3 linked regions of the Mus musculus genome follow. The protein of the gene in region 2 interacts with the protein of the main gene of each other region in a pairwise test. Links are inferred from orthologs where the notes say so. Each region holds a gene or a part of one and is shown on either strand. Other genes may lie near its edges.

What was found. The genes of interacting proteins can lie anywhere in the genome.
Region 1: the proteins of Dhx15 (region 2) and Rbm17 interact in binary tests that used the Homo sapiens proteins (3 or more experiments, as listed by UniProt). The link is inferred for Mus musculus from reciprocal best matches to the Homo sapiens genes DHX15 and RBM17.
Region 3: the proteins of Dhx15 (region 2) and Rbm5 interact in binary tests that used the Homo sapiens proteins (3 or more experiments, as listed by UniProt). The link is inferred for Mus musculus from reciprocal best matches to the Homo sapiens genes DHX15 and RBM5.

What each region holds. Positions count from the first base shown.
Region 1 is NC_000068.7:11,599,834-11,605,854, forward strand, and holds the start of Rbm17 (splicing factor 45), read right to left. Parts: upstream 3,367-6,021; 5' UTR 3,252-3,366; intron 924-3,251; 5' UTR 909-923; coding exon 786-908; intron 1-785. UniProt on the Homo sapiens protein: Splice factor that binds to the single-stranded 3'AG at the exon/intron border and promotes its utilization in the second catalytic step. Involved in the regulation of alternative splicing and the utilization of cryptic splice sites.
Region 2 is NC_000071.6:52,148,310-52,153,574, forward strand, and holds the end of Dhx15 (pre-mRNA-splicing factor ATP-dependent RNA helicase DHX15), read right to left. Parts: exon of another isoform or gene 5,015-5,265; intron 3,671-5,014; coding exon 3,501-3,670; intron 2,470-3,500; coding exon 2,352-2,469; 3' UTR 1,894-2,351; downstream 1-1,893.
Region 3 is NC_000075.6:107,767,841-107,773,861, forward strand, and holds the start of Rbm5 (RNA-binding protein 5), read right to left. Parts: upstream 3,163-6,021; 5' UTR 3,045-3,162; exon of another isoform or gene 2,609-3,044; intron 1,787-2,608; 5' UTR 1,738-1,786; coding exon 1,721-1,737; intron 1-1,720. Other genes in the region: Rbm6 (RNA-binding protein 6), read right to left, coding at 5,842-5,967. UniProt on the Homo sapiens protein: Component of the spliceosome A complex. Binds to ssRNA containing the consensus sequence 5'-AGGUAA-3'. Regulates alternative splicing of a number of mRNAs.

The DNA of each region.
Region 1 (6,021 bases), on a different chromosome or scaffold from region 2:
CAGGACAGCCAGGGCTAAACAGAGAAACCCTGTCTCAACAACCCCACCCCCACAAAATCTATTTGCAATCTCAAGATATTTGCTAATAGCTGACATTAAAATATACGCATAGTTGGGTGGGGTGATATTCCCAGCACTTGGTAGGCAGAGACAGGCAGACCTCTGTGAAACTGGGGCCACCTTGGTCGACACAGACAGTTCAAAGCCACATACTGAAATCTTATGTTGAAAACAAACAGAAACAAAGAAAAAGAAAAAGCTGCACTGTCTCCAAGACAATGCCAAGTCTAACAGGTATACAACACAGCAATTCCCACCTATAACTATATATCCTGGGTATGTTCACAAACATCAGAGCCTTTCATAGTGTACACGATTATTAACCCAACCAAATAAAATTTACTTAACATGTATGTATATATGTTTGTATGCATGTTGGGGTGGCTCTGATTATTCTGCAAAGCTCAATTCCAAACTTCTTACAATAAACTAGCTGGGACCCAGCCTAGGCCAGAAGTCCCAGACTATTAGGACTAGGGGTATGAAAACAGCATCTGTAAACAGTTTGCAGTCAGTCTCAGGCATGCTCCAGTCTAAAGCCAGTCTCATGGCTTTTTTTAATTCCCACTCCATGAATGGTCCTGCTGTTTCCAAGAGCCAGGAGAGGCAATCAGCTCTCCACCCCTCGCCCACCCACTCTTTTCTACGTATCCAGCAAGGGGGCAAAGAGCAAGCTTAAAGGAACTCAGCGGACTTGCCCTCTCCTGCCCTGGGCCTGTTCTTACCTTGGCCTGAGTGAGCGCCGCCTTCTTCACCTGGAGCTGGGACTGCAGGAGCTTGAAGTTTTTGGACCAGCCTTCAGTTTTTGAGTCACTGGTCTCCACTCCCAGGTCATCATATAGGGACATCTTTTTGGTTTAATGCTGAAAGACAAGCAGGGACAGAGATTAAAAGATGCAAAGCAGAAGCAAGTTATGAATGTCTCTGTGTTAAAACAGCTGCACCATGGACCCTCCTGTCACAAATGCAGGGTTCTTTCTAATCTGCAAAACTATACTTAGGCACTAGTTTAAAAACAGTCCTCAGCCTGGCGTGGTGGCACGCGCCTTTAAACCCAGCACTTGGGAGGCAGAGGCAGGCGGATTTCTGAGGCCAGCCTGGTCTACAAAGTGAGTTCCAGGACAGTCAGAACTATACAGAGAAACCCTCTCAAAAAACTAAAAAAGAAAAAACAAACAAACAAAAGTCCTCAGGGCTCTCATGTAGCTCAGGCTGGCCTTGAACTTATCACAAAGACGAGGTTGGCTTTGAACTTGTGACTCTTTCCTACACCTCTTGAGTGCTGGGATATGCCACTATGTCCAGCCTAGAATTAATTCTCAATCTAAAAGACTATGGTGAACTGACTTATGAGTCAAATCCTTCAGTTATAGAACTGATAATGGAGTAAGACGGAAGCTCTCTATGTGGGGCATTATTAACTATAAAGTTCCAGGTGCCAAAGAGATGGCTCAGTGGGTAGGAGTACTGGTTGCTCTTCCAGAGGTCCTGAGTTCAGTTTCCAACAACCACCTGTAATGGTGGCTCAGAACCATCGATGAGTCCCAGGAGGGCCAGGGCTGTTACAAAAAGAAACCCTGTCCATAAATAAATAAAATCCCTCACAGGTGAAACCCTGTCCATAAATAAATAAAAATCCCTCACAGGTGTGGCCAGCCATTGGGTTTTAGTAGATTCCAGATGTAGCTAACCAAGAGTAACCATCACAAGTCTAAAAGTCTACCTCTGTTAGCTTGATCCACACCACAATCATATCTTATACTCAGGACTTAATGATGTTTTACCGAATCATTTATACCCTTCCGTGTGTAGCTATGCCATCTCTGATAGTTCACATTTCCCATCCGTATTACCAAGATACCATTGGCCAGGGACTGTTAAAAACAAACTAACCAGAGTAACTAAAGCAAACAGCGCAGCAGATTTCTCTACTGTTCTGAAAGACTTGTAGAATGACCTACTAGAGGGAACTCTTCCCTGTTGGAAAGATGTGTGAAAAATTTATGCGGGGGACAGGTGGTGGGGGGGAGGAGGTACATAATAACAAATCAGGGGGTCAACAAGAACCCATATGGTAGGAGAAAAATGACGCCTGTAGGAAATCACACATGTGATTTCCACGTGTGGCTTGTCCTCGGAACTCTTAATCTCCTGCCTGCACCTTCCAAGCACTGGAATTCCAGACATATTGCCACCCTGGGCTCCATTACTCATATTTACTAAAATTTGTTATCTCGAAATGTTTACAGCTCAGCCCAGTATAAATGTGTCCCCATGATTTAAAAGAGCCACCTGTTGCAGAGAGACAGGCCTCACCTATTCCCAGAACAAGCAGAATTATAACAAGAACTTATGTCAATGGTCCCCCCTTCCTGACTTCTCAAAGGAAGGTCTGACTGATCACCCTTCTAAGTCCCTCTTCATCCTCTGTCACAGCCTTAAACTGCAGAATACTCTACAGCGCTTCTCTGCTCTTGCTTTCCCTCTTCCTCATAGGTGCAGCCTTTCCACTTGTAATAAAACTCCTCTTCCAGGTCTTTCCAGCTTGTAATCTGGTTCTTCGGATCAATCCAGGCCTGGGTTTTCCAACGAGCTTCTTAGAGATCTAACCCCTGGAGAAGCACCTTACTGAGCTTGCAGCACTCATTCAGAGCACAACTGGTCCAAGCAGAAGAAGCTCGAAAGCTAGCGGAGGGACATGAACGCTAAAACTCCCCTTAGCGCAGGCCTGAGCATGCCGGGGGTTACAACAGACACTCTCTGTCCCGGTGAGACAACGGCCTCAACCTTCACTTCAGGTGCTCTGGAAGGAAACAAGTTTTGGGGTTTGTGTTTTGGCTTCTCCATTCCTGAGGCCCGACGCAGTCTGGGTTACTGCGGTCTTGCGACCCAACAACTTGGTCTGGGCATGGGCCATGAAGAGGAGAAAGGTACTTTCTTCACTGTCAAGAGGATCGGGACTGGTGAAGGGGGGATCTAGGTGGCCCGGTGGAACGTGGCAGGCTGAAGGAGCCCAACGTGGAGGGCTGGGAACCCCCCGGGCAGCTCGGGGTGCCCCGCCCGCATCCCCGCGCCCCTCACGGCGCGGCCTAGAGCCGCGGCCTCGCGTCCAGCGCATCCGTGAAGGCGCGCACACCCGAGTCTACGTTCCGGATCAGACCGCCTGCCAGGGCCGCCGCGGCGCCACTCACCCGGCCTTCCGAGACGATTGTGCCCATGGGCCACGGCGGCGGCAGCGCGGAGCCCGGCCGCCCTGCGCGGAAGCCCGCCCACCGCCGGAGTCCGCCGCAGCGCCGAGCCTCCACGGAGTCCGCAAAGGGATGCACCGCGCGGGGTAAGAGAGCGGAGGCTGCCGGGAGTCCACGTCTGCGCCTGCGTGTGACTCGCGGAAGCAAAGCTGCACTCTCCGGCTCGCACTGCACCCTGCTGACGGGAGGACTACATTGCATCTCCTCTCTGCCGGCCAAGAGATGGCGCCATTGGCACAAGGTTTCGAGATTCATGTGCCTTCTGACCTTGGAGTAGGAGCCGAATCCCCTACTAGGCTCCAGGTATTCACTCCCAACTATTCCCTTATATACTAAATGGTGGAAATAAATTTGCAGGCGAGATGTTGCAGAATCTAATAGCATTAAAAACACACACTGAGCTAGGTCTTCAGAGAAAGAATGTAAACACTATAAACCTTGCTCGCTTGGAATAAAAATGCAGCAAATGGCAAAAGAAAGGTCAGAGAAACCAGGGCTTTGTGTAAATATGTTTTCCCCATATTTTTGGTTGCATGTAAAAATTATTTCAAGCTATAGCTGGACAGTTGTGACCCATGCCTTTAATCTCAGCCCTTGAGAGGCAGAGACAGAGATTTCTGAGTTCAAAGCCTGCCTGGTCTATATAGTGAGTTCCAGGACAGCCAGGACTACACAGAAACCCTATTTTGAAAAACAGCAACAATAACAACAACCCCCCCCCCCCCCCGCAAAGGGTGGTGGTGGTGGTGAATTCAAGCTGAAAAATGTATCAGTCAGGGTTCTCTATAGTCAGAGGACCTATAGACTGTCTATATATATTAAATGAATTTATTGCAATGATTTACACTCTGCAGTCCAACTAACCTGACAATGGGCAGCTGTGAATGGGAAACCCAAGAATCTAGTAGTTGCTCTGTCCCACGAAGTAGGTTGTTTCATCTGGTCTTCTGTCTAAGCTACAATCTGAAGAAATCGGTTCCAACAGAGATGCTGTCAAGTAAGTGCAAGAAGGTGACGAGGAGTGAGTCAATCTTCTTTCTCCCAATGTCTTTATGTCCTCAAGTTCCACACCTGGATCCGGAACTTGCTTTGTCCCAGGCTGGCCTTGAACTCAGAGAACTGCTTGCCTCAGTGTCCTGGGATTAAAGTTGTGCACTACCTTGCCTGGGCTGTCTCATGATCTCCATGTCAAGATCTGGGTCAGCAGCCTGTGTCTTCCAGCCTCAAGATCCTGTGTGCCCTCCATTTCTGGATTGTAGTTCATTCCAGATGTAGTCGAGTTGAAAACCAGGAATAGCCATCATAAAACTGTGGAGGTGGACCTTACACAAGTGAACACACCAACATTATAATCTGATTTACAAGAAAGTGTTCAAATAATTCTGAAAGTGCCAGGCGTGGTGGCACACGCCTTTAATCCCAGCACTCGGGAGGCAGAGGCAGGGGGATTTCTGAGTTCGAGGCCAGCCTGGTCTACAGAGTGAGTTCCAGGACAGCCAGAGCTATACAGAGAAACCCTGTCTCGAAAAGCCAAATAAATAAATAAATAATAAAAATTTAAAAAATTTTAAAAATTCTGAAAGCTTGAAAATGCAAGCCTGGAATAAAGTACCAGCTTGTGGCAGATAAACATAAAGAAATCAGATAGCAACACCATGTGTGGGTTGATTAAAAGTTTGACATGACATTTTATAATACAATTCCTGTTGAAAAAAAAATAAAATCTGTACATCAAAAAAATACAATCTTGTTATTCATAGTAAACACTATAGGAAATAATAAATAGGGAAAAGGAATTAACACACACACACACACACACACACACACACACACACACATGTAATAGTTGAGATTTTGTTTTTGTGGGGCAGAAGAGAACAGTTAAGAGCACCAGCTGCTCTTCCAAAGGACCTGGGGCTCTTTATAACCTACTTAGCACCCACATGACAGCTCACAAACATCTGTAACTATAGTCCCAGGGGATCTCATGGCCTCTGTGAGTGACAGTCACAGGTGGTACATAGACTTATATGCAGACCAAACACCTGCACTCAAAAAATATATTAAAAAAAAAAAGAAAATTGAAGCTTTAAAAAAAAAATCAATTTTGTAGGTTTACTATTATAGGCCTTCTTTTGGCTTTTTGGTTTGTTTGTTTTGTTTTTTTATTGTTTTTCTGTGGGGTGTTGTTTGGTTGGTTTGGGCTTGGTTTGGTTTGGTTTTTTGAGACAGGGTTTCTCTGTGTAGTCCTGGCCATCTTGGAACTCATTCTGTAGACCAGGGTGGCCTTAAACTCAGAGATCTGACTGCCTCTGCCTCTTGAGTGCTGGGATAAAGGAATGTGCCTGGCTTTTTTTTTTTTTTTTTTTTTTTCGTTTTTCTGAGACAGGGTTTCTCTGTGTAGCCCTGGCTGTCCTGGAACTTACTTTGTAGACCAGGCTGGCCTCGAACTCAGAAATCCGCCTGCCTCTGCCTCCCAAGTGCTGGGATTAAAGGCGTGCGCCACCACGCCCGGCATGCCTGGCTTTTTTTAAAAAAAACTTTGTTTTGTTCTATTTCTAGTTTCATAGTTACCTATTTCTAGTTATATAACCTCTTAGCTCAATGAACTTATTCTAAACTTTCAATGAACACAGTGTTTTTTTTTAAAGTTTATTTATTTATTTTATGTATATGGGTACACTGTAGCAGAGCAGATGGTTGTGAGCCTTCA
Region 2 (5,265 bases):
GGCTTCTGACACTGGCTTTTGGCCAATGCACTCATACATTTTTTTCTCCCTCCTCCTCAAAAACCTTAAAGTTGACTATCATGTGTTCTTGCATTTCTAACTTCTTAACTAGGTTCAATCTACTCTAGTCTAGGTGTGATATATAAATCTGGTGGAGTATGTCCTAGATTCAATCCACAATATTCCATCTCCAATACCTACAATCTGTTAATTGTAAATAGTGAGTCTACAACAATTTAATGAAGAAAAACCCCCAACACATAGTAATTTAAAAATAAAGTATAGGACACTTGCCAAACACTCAGATTTAAGTTCATCTTATCTATGTAACAATGAGAAGACTACCAAGGAACACTTTTGCTATTCTGAGTTCAAATGGCCTGAGACAATTCAAAGTAAAAGTCAAGTTTCCATAGCCTGGGATGATGCTTGTCTTACTGGTGGCAATACCCTTGTGTAATGGCTGCTTATGAAGCATTGTATTCACAAGTCTTAAAATGCACGTTTTTGTGATGGAACCAGTAAAAAAATTCTGAAGTGAGGCTCCCTCTCCAAGTCCTCTAATATGTATTATATACAAACCATAATCAGTGTATAAATAAGTATCTACCAAGCCAGTCAATTTTACATCTCATATGGATTAAATCTGATTTTATACTAGTAAAATGCACCATCAGGTAGACACGTCCCAACAAACTCAACAATCTGAGATCAATCCCCAAGACCCAACGGTAGGATAACAATGATAGGAGTAACAGAAATTAATGAGCAATGAGCCGATAAGCCAGAACAAAGAAGGACTTCTAATCAGCTTCTCTATGAAGTGTATGAGTCAGCCCTAGAAGTCTAGGTTGTTAGGTACACCTGAGTACTTTTCATAGCCTCCAGGTAGGTTCTGCTAGAAAGTCTCTAATAATACAGTTCTAATCTTCTCTTAAAATAGAGTTAAACAAGACAGAAACAATTTAACTTTCTTTCTCTTACTGTCGGGGTCAATGAGTCAGTACCGTTCTCCCCTCATCTCTCTGATGTGGTTTCTAGATATCCTGAACCACTAGGCACCATATAAGAGGTGCACTAAAAGTATTCAAATCACCTGAAACTGACACGTCATCAGATCACAACTATACATTTTCCTTTCATATTATAAAAAATGAGGCAGAGATAGGAGAATCAGTGATTTCTGAGGCCAATCTAGTCTACAGTGAATGGCAGGTCACCAAGACTTTAAAACAAAGCAAAGCAAAGCAAATTAACAAGAGAAAGGCACATCCAAATTTAGTAACTATTTAGCCTGTAAGTGAAAGACAAATTATTGCAGTACTTTTGACTGGCCACATCAACAGCTCCTTTTGGTTCCGGAAGGATTTTAGTTTGTCTCCTGCCTGTTGATAGGAAGCTCAACTTCTCATTTTAACACACTATACAAATTACATTATAAAAGCTGCCAACAGTCAATACTTAGTAAAAACTGACGGTGATCCAGAACACTGTTCCCTCCTATCCAATACAAACACATGCTAGGGGCTAGAGTGATTAAACTGTTCGCCTCAGTACAGTAAGACCTGACACAACGCATTTAATAAGGTAATAAACTATCAGCCTTATGAAATGAGCTTTAAGAATGAGGACAAAGCCATTCTTCCATTATTCTGTCTCTGGGGATCCAATTTCAAAAAAAAATATTACACACGTTATCCCATTAGATTACATACTGATTAACCTAAGAAAGTGCTACATTTATGCTCTTTAAAACCCAGGTTTAATGGCTACTGTACCTAAGGAGTACTCCTTTTAAAAAACGCTAAATACGTAGTAACAGTATAATTACAATGAAAAAAGAAAAGCAGCCACTCACTATAGAGACTCTTAGAATAAAAGATACAGAAGGACTTGGGCCAAGATTAGTATAAATAGACTTTATTGAAGTCAGTGCCTCTGTATGGAGACAGAAGATTGTGTCTACAGAAGCACAAGTTGTAACATTTCACAACTTCTAAAAGGAATGTCAACAATTACAACGATCATGCATACCATGGTCGATAATCACATTTTAGAAGCATTTTCAACCATTTCTAAAGAAATGCTTATAACATTGTTATATATAGAACTACTTTCAATAAACTGCAAAACATTGATCGACTTTTCCAGTATGAGCTACAGTGTCAACACAAAAGGGAGGCATAAATGTTTAATTTATGAAATCAGAATGGAATATTTACTGTAAAGAAAAATTAAAAAGCTTTCAAATAAAGGCCATTATTGAACCAACATGAAGAGCACAACTTGAACTTGACTTCATTCATCTTTTAAAGCTGTCCTCTGAATAACTTCAGTTCTAAGCATTGAATTCAGTACTGTGAATATTCCTTGGATTGAAGTTTGGCAATAATGCGGTCCAACTGTCTCTTTGCTTCACACTGTGGGAAATTGCTCATGTCATAATATTGAGGGGCAATTTTCACCAACCTGTCCAGAATGGGGGAGGGGGAAAGTTATGAAATCAAGATTTAAGTACTAGAGTTGCTAATAATTATACTGCTGCTGAATGACGACAAATGTTCAAATACAAATCAATGATAAAAGATTTAAAATCATATCTTTATTAACACAGTTTAAGAAATATCAGCTTAGCAAAAGTATAAACCTTCTGTAAACTTACCACCTTGGAAACAGGATCGGGATTAATTTTTCTAATACTTTATTTACATTAATATGAAAAGACAAAAGCTATTTAGTGTTTCATTTGCCTACACTTAAACCTGTATTTTAAAGGTTATGGTTTTGATAGTCAAATAACTCCATCTCATTATCAGTATTAAGAACTACAAATATAAAACTGTATATCTTATAAACTATACTGTTTTCCCTTGGCAAAACATAATAAAAGGGTAATGTTCTAAACAATTGAAGTGTCAAAAGCCATAAATCAGTAATGGATGGAAGCCGCAAAATAGTAAGTGAGACAAACCAACATAAATGGTTTCCTGTCCACTCTTGGCTGACATTCCCATAACTTATAAAAATGGTGGTGGTAGGGAAATCACAAGGGTACCATTTTGCTAAAAATTGAACAACCTGTCTTAATTACAATTTTTAGAAGCTAATATGCTAGGGAATAATTTGATATAATTTTTATCTTTACATAGGTCAAAAAACCCCTCAACATTTAATAAATAAAGACAAAATACTTAAACCAAGTAAAATATTAAAAAGACAAACATCTGCCAACAGAGACCACAAAATGGCACCAAGAAATTCCTGATGGTACTCAACTCCCTGCCCACACTAATATTCCCACTGTCCTCTCACCAGAACACTGACTTAAGAAACAAAAGAAAAAAACAAATCATACCATGTTAATCCTAGGTCCACGTACAAGAATATACACACCTAGCTGAGAAGTTCAAGCTATACAATGAGCAAGGATATGTCTACTAAGCATATTCTACCCACAACAAAATACTAAAATCAAAATTGAAGACAGTGTGCTTCCTTACCATTCTGGCTTGATATCTGTACATGTCCGGATATAATTCTTTGTCGTCAGCACAAACTCATTATAAAGCACCCATTCAGGCTTGTGATCAAGCACAGTAGAGGGATGCAACTGGACCACCTGGTTATCTTTCACAGTTAAATAATGCCCCGTTCGTTCTAAATGTGCCACCTGAAACAAAATAATTAGTGTTTACAGTGAAATACTAGGCAAACAGTATGTGGATATTTACATGAAAACTTAAAAATATTGAGTTTGTTTTACTGTGTGTGTGCATACATGCTCACATGCCAATTTGTGTACCACATATGTGGCTGCCTGAGAAGGTCAGAGAAAATGTTGGCTCCCTTAGAACTGGAATTACAGTTGGTTCTTAGAAGTTATGTGGGTGCTAAGAACTGAACCCAGGTCCTCCGGATGAGTAGTCAGTGCTCTCAACCACTCATTTCTATCTCAGGCATGTCTCGCACCACACACTAGCTACAAAGTAGACAAATATTACCACACTCATAACTAAGGTGAAGAAAAGAAATCTAAGCAAAAAGAAAGCAACAACCTATAAAGAAAAGAAAGGGGTAAGGAAAAAGCAGGGAAAGAAAGATCACATAATTCTTTCATATTTTCTTTTCCTAATTATACACTTATATTCATGATACCTAACAACTAATAATGCAGGACAAGAGTCTTTGCCATTCCCAACTCTACAACTCTGCATAGCACATGACTTAATGACAACTAGTAAATATATATAACGAATATATACTAGGTGTCAAGTACCACTTCAATTGTTGCTGCTTCTTAGAATAGGAGCTAACTAGGATACTACAGTTCTTAAATTTATCAGTCAAGTGTGCGTGCGTGCGTGCGTGCGTGCGTGCGTGTGCGTGTCAGAGAAAAAAACTAAGAAATACCAAGAAAAAGCTAGTCCATACTAGTATATAAATGTATGTATTAGAGGTCACCTGCCACCCCAGCATTTCAGAAGGCAAAGAACCATTGGAGTTTAAAGTCACCCTTTTGTGAGACATTCTCACAAAACCACCAATCCACTTTTTTTCTGATACTTTAATTCAAAGACAGATACTTTACAGGCATAATATGGAACCAAATGCATCCAGATTCCTTCTAGCTATTGAACACAAATGGCTTTAAGGCTAATGTAACTGGTTTAAGAAACATCCAAGGACAGAATAAAGAAGCATGAGAGATAAGTTTAAAGAGCAATTTCAACTCACGTAATGTATTTTGAATTTAACTAGCAGAATAGTTTCAAGCATCATTTTGATTTACCTGACCCTTCGATTTTTCAGGACCTACAGAAGTGGCTGAGCAGTGAATACTTGTTCCTCTTTCAAGAGACTCAGATTTAATTCCCAGCACCCACATGGTGATTCACAACCCACTCTAACTCCAATTTCAGAGTACCTGAAAACCTCTACCTGTACCAGGCATGCAAGTTATCCAGATATACAGGCAAAATACCCATACATAATAAAAATTTTAAAAACCTACTAAGGGTATTTATTTGCTTTTTTATTCGAATTCCAATGACCTCTAATACATACATTTAAATTAAATAACTTATAAAGAAAAATTCAGAATAGCTAAAGGACACTTGGATTTTACAGTGCTCCAAGTTAGTCATAAATACCAATAAGTACTGTGTACAAACACAAAGGCAATGTAGTTAGTTAAATGTGGAAACAGAGAATGGAGAGATGGCTCAATAGTTTAAGAGAGCTAGCTGTTCTTCCAGTGGACACGCA
Region 3 (6,021 bases), on a different chromosome or scaffold from region 2:
CCACCCATGTTTAGTTTACAAAGATATCTACTGAAAGAACATTCTTAGGCAAGTTGTGGTGATGCATGCCTGTAATCCGAGGAGGCAAAGGCAGGAGGGTGATCTCTAGAGCTTTAGACCACCCAGGTCTCAAGAAAAGGAGAGAGAAAACATACACACACACAATTTTAAGGAATTGACAGAAAGTCAGAAAATATAACTATTAGTTATTTGGATTAAAGTTTTTGAGAAGGGAACATATTCTCAAAGTTTATTCTTAGTGTTTTCTTAAGCCTATGGTTGATATATTATTCCTTTATTTCCATTTCAGATAATACTGACCAAAGACAGCAAGAAAGTAGTTACTTAAATCTCATCCAATTTCAGAGTAAATGTTTTTTTTTTCCTTTTCCTTTTTGGTTTTTCAAACAGGGTTTCTCTGTGTAGCCCTAGCTGTCCTGGAACTCACTTTGTAGACCATGTTGGTCTTGAACTCAAGAGATCTGCCTGCCTCTGCCTCATGAGTGCAGGGACCAAAGTTGAGAGCAACCACTGCCAGCATGGAAGAGTTAATCTTAACAACTTAGACTCTCAAGGGCGCCACACAAACCAGAAATGGACCAATGCTCTAGACGACCTATGTCTTCCCTCCAACCACTGCCAGTCAACCTGTTAACCAAGTGGTTCATCTGTACACAGAAGTGGATGATTACTTCAAACTGACAGGCTCAGAAAACATTTATTCCATATAACATTTTTTTTTAGCCATGGGCAAAAAGGTACATTTGCAAAAGGGTACATTTTAATTACGTACGTTATTTGGAGCAATAGTCTGTCACAGGACTACATGATATCCTATGACATAAATAAGTCTTTCTTGGATGTCAATTTTATCTATCACAAGAACTGGCCTGTCAATAATAAGATCATGTGAAGGCTATGTTAAGTCAAATGATTTGAGGTCTCCATATCCACAGTTGCTGAAACAGCCAACAGTTTTCACCTTTGTTTGTTTAATGTATCTGGACCTACTGGGGATTGATACTCATGCCTCATAAACCACTGACAGGCGAGCTGTATCCCAGTCCTAATCTGTTCTATGTTAACTAGCTTTTCCCTTTCTCGATCGTCTTGATGTAAGCCACGCTCCTAGGCTGCTCAGCTTTGAGCCTCCCAGGCCACTGTATCTATCACTAGGGAATAACAAGGATTGGCACTCACTCACTGCTTCTCAAGCAGGCTTTGAATAGCTCCTGCCCACAGCTGGAACTTTCCATGGCCTACTCCACACTGCTTTCCTTAACCTAGTTCTTAGCCTTTGGACTGCACCTCCGACAATACTTTCCCCAAGACACTTCCCTTTCTCCTCATGTGTCCAGACAGTACTTTACATTTTTTATCCTAACTGTTAACTCTCACTAGACTGAAGCTTGTGAGAACAGAATCATGAAAGTAGTCATTTGGAACACTTGAAACACAATAGACATTTAAATATTCATTTGCAAAATAAATAATTTATTACTGTTGTTGCTTTGTTTTGTTTTTGTTTTTCCTTTTTTGAGACAGGCCTTCTCTATGTAGCCCTGGCTGGCCTTGAACTCAGTGAGATTTGCCTGTCTCTGCGGGGATTAAAACCTGTAAGCTGCCATCACCACACAGGGCTGAATAAACAATTTTAAACAAATATTTCAGTCCCAACTAAGCTGTTGAGATCAAAGGCATGTCATGTATTGAAACTCACCTTTTGTCTGAACCCATCGTCTCACGGAAGAGCTAGCACACTGCTTCAAAAGGCTTAAATTTTCCCCTAGGGGTGGGAAAGAGAAAAATTGCAAATTTCAGAGATCACTTAATTCAAGAACCCTACAAACTGGGATAGAAACTGTGGCTAATACTTAACAATGACTAAAAAGAGGAAGGAAAAGGAGGCTGTCAACACTAAGTCATAATTGTGTTAAGAAGCAGGAAGATGAAGGTCACTTTAACATATTAAGATCATATATTCAATAAGAAACTCAAGAAGGGTGAAGGCTTTAGACACCTTGGACACTCCCACTACAATTACAAAGCAAAAAGCTCCTGATTTTCATAACCAAAGCAACGCTATTTATTGAGATGGACAATGATTAAAGCATTCATCCAACTGTCTTCGTTAATATAAAATTCAACACTAAAATTGTAACACGATCTCAAATTTTTCTGACAAAAACTTAGAAGCTGGAATGCTGATCTGATTGAAATTTACATATATAACACATCGCCTGATCTCAATTTATTTCAGTAAGACAAGACCAAACCTTGACTCGGCTTAATATCTGTGTATCAATAACACCTATGTCTTGGACCAGCCCTGATCGACAACAGGCCACCGAGTGACCCACAGCCTTTCCCCGGCCGATTGGCCGTAATAAAACATCACACAGCTATGATGCCTGTGATGTCCCAGAAACTATAGTTACTGCCATTTCTAGAATCTGGTCTTTTAAAGCAAGCACTTAACAAACATTCGTTGACTTAAAAAATAAGAGACATCTAGTGGGTCAAGTTCCGGGGTCGAACGGCTACGGCTGTCCCTTGTTTTCGCCCGAGATGCCCGCACCCACCTCCCAGGGAGGTTGCCCATGCCCACCTCCGCGGGGTATCGCAGCCGAGATGGCGGCGCAACTGAATCCGGCATTCAGTCCATCTTTCTTATCTTCCATCCATCCCTCCCCACACCCATTCCCAACCACCTTTCGCACAGCGAGATTCAGTTGGAGACTCAGGGCGATGATGGCTTAAGAGACTGCCAGGCGCTCCACAGCTCCGCACGACAGGGGATTCGGGACAACGTCCCAGCAAGAGACAAACAACTCCAAAGAGGCGGGTCGAGGACCGGGCTAGGGGGCAACCTATGAAAGCCAGCAGAGCCAGAGGCGAGGAGGGGCGCGGCCCTCAAGCGCTTGCTTAGTTTAGTCTCTTCAAAGACTCGGCTGAGCGGTCACCTCTGGCGGCTGACAGGCAGACTTAAGGGACAGCACCAATTGCAAAATCACTGGGGTGTAATGGACGGCAGCCGCACTCACCCCCACAGAGGGAACAAAGCAGGAGCAGTAGCGGCTCTGCGCCCCAGAACCTCCTACAAGGTTCGGCCGCTCCACAAAATGGCGTCTCCACCGACCGTCTTCTCCTACCCACAGTCCCTCGCGCGTCGACCTTCCCCCACCTCCCATCCTACCCGCCTCTCCAGAGGCGTCCAATCAGCGAGGGTGCCGGTCTGCGCGAGGGCTGCCGGGAAGTGTGGTCGCCCAGGCAGCCTGTCACTATACCCTGCGTTAATTTTTTTGCGTATTTCATCTGCTCCATGACAAAGCTGCCATTCAGCTTCTGAGAACCCGGATGTGAACTTTACCAGCGCTTGACACACTGTAAAACGTATAATCCAGTTCGTAGAGAAGGCATACTACGGATTACTTCCCTAGTCGTTTTACAAACATACAGAGCTAATAATTCGGTAAACTGGAAACTGAACTAGCTTGTTTTCAGAAGCCATGCCAGCACTAGAATATGAACTCCAGAACAATAGGGATATTTTGTTGTAAGACCCTGCCACAAGCAAACAAAACAACAATAAAACCAAGCCTGTGAGATAGCCTCATCAGGTAAGGCTTACTGCCAAGCCTAAAACCCTGAGTTCCATCCCTGCAATTCACAGGATGGAAAGAGAACCACGCATGAGAGTAGTCTTCTGATGTGGCAAACATGGATGTGTGTTCAAATACACCAACAATAAGTAAATGCAAAGCAGCCCAAATTCAAACCAAATCATCACCCAACTACACATTAAAAAAAAAAATCCAACAAAACAGACAAAACCCTAGAGGTTCCCCCCCCCCCTCTCTCTGCTTTTTGTGGAGATATTGTCATCCAGTTGCCATAACTTGTCCTCTGCATATGTAGTTATTAGGGAGCAGATTTCCCTCATTTTTTTTTTTAATTTTTCTTCCCTTCCCTCCCTTTTGTTTTCTTTAGAAAGGGTCTCTATAGTTCTGGTTAGCCTGGAATTCACAATGTAGACTGACCAAGATCCATCTCCTTAGTGTGGGACTGTTTCTGACCCTCCAGTTTTCACCTCCTTCTGGGATTACAAGTCTGATAAGAATAACGGTGTGCAGGAATTAGGGTGACTGAAACTGGCTAGAAATGCCTGATAACACAGCTGAAGGAACACATACTCAACATCTTTCTTTTGTATCTATGTATTCTCAGTATACAATTATGTAAATGTTAAGATATGCCCAATTATGGTTGAGTATATATAACACACTTAACCGCAGAAAATATACATTTGTCTGCAGATCATAGAAACCACTTATAGCAGGGTGTGGTGATCCATGCCTATAATCCCAGAGGTAATTGGATCTCTGAGTTCAAGGCCAGCCTGGTCTAAAAAGGTGAGTTCCAGGAAAGCCAGGGTGATATAAAGAACTCACTCACTGGTTGCTGGGATTAAAGGTGAGCCACCATGCTGCCAATTCAATTTTAAACTCAAAAGCTACTCCCCTATCCCTAGACAGATTCCATCCAGGGATGAATGGCATCCTCTCAATTGTGTCTGTCTGTTGAGTAGAATTGTTTTTGTGAGTAGATGGACTATATATCCTAGGCTATCTGGTAGTCGATGTACCAAAGACAATGGAAATTGTTCTAATTTAAGCAACACAAAAAAGCAAATATATTATTGAACAAAGTTTTAATAAAATAATCTTAAGTCTTTCATTTTAAAAACTTAAAAGCTGGAGATGGAGTGCTTGCTGCTCTATCAGGGAATCCAAATTTGGTTCCCAGCACTCGTATCAGGTAGCACACAAGCCTATATAATACCACCTCCAGGGATCCCATGCCGTCTTCTGGCCCTAAATGCACCTAAACTACACGCAGAGACAAATAAAAATAGTAAGCCGGGCGCAGTGGCGCACGCCTTTAATCCCAGCACTTGGGAGGCAGAGGCAGGCGGATTTCTGAGTTTGAGGCCAGCCTGGTCTACAAAGTGAGTTCCAGGACAGCCAGGGCTACACAGAGAAACCCTGTCTCGAAAAAACCAACCTAACCCAGTGACATAATCACTTTCATGAGTCTTTTAAAACCAACCCAACCAATCACCTCTCTGATTATGTGGCAAAAAAATAAACGATTAAATGTTTTGTCCCAGTATTGGAACTACTGCTATAGAAAAAAAGTGAAAGACATCTTTGCTTTGAGGCAATTGTAGGACTTTGTTTTCCCTATAGCCTTGAGGTGGTCAAAGAGCTTCTGAGTCTTTAATTAGTGAACCTACAATGGAGGTGTGCTTTACCTTAACAGTTACCAACACCCACAGGTCAGAGAGACTCCTTTCCCTGCTGAGATCAATGTGGTTCTTCCATGCCTGCTTTAGCACAGCTGAGCATTTCAGCATTAACTCAGATGCCTACATGATGGCATGCCTGTTCTACTTACTTTCCTTCTCTCTGTAAAAGATGTATTTATTCTATGTATGTGAGTACACTGTTGCTCTCTCCAGACACACCAGAAGAGGGCATCAAATCTCATTGCAGATGGTTGTGAGCCACCATGTAGTTGATGATAATTAAACTCAGGACCCCTGGAAGAGCAGCCAGTGCTCTTACCACTGAGCCATCTCTCCAGCTCCATTTTCTACTTTTTAACATCAAGCTCTAATCTCTACCCATTGTAGGAAAAAAAAAAACTTTAACAAAATTTATTCACATTGAAAAAAAGTTTATTTAAAAAAGTTCTAGCAGCAAGAACAGTAACAAAACAAAAGGAGAAAAGGACAAACAAAACAAAGAGGAAATTGTGTCCTGCGGGGTGTCTCCACTCTTAATCGAGTTCTTTATATCGAGCAAACATGACTCTTCGAACAGCGTCTCGGTAAGTCTCATTAGACTGTCTCTTGCTGGTTCTTCCTGGGGGACCACCCCCAGGTCCCCTCATCCGCCCTTCAATCTGCAGAACAATCAAAAGAGATCTTTAGATAAGGAAGACCACAATGTCATGCTT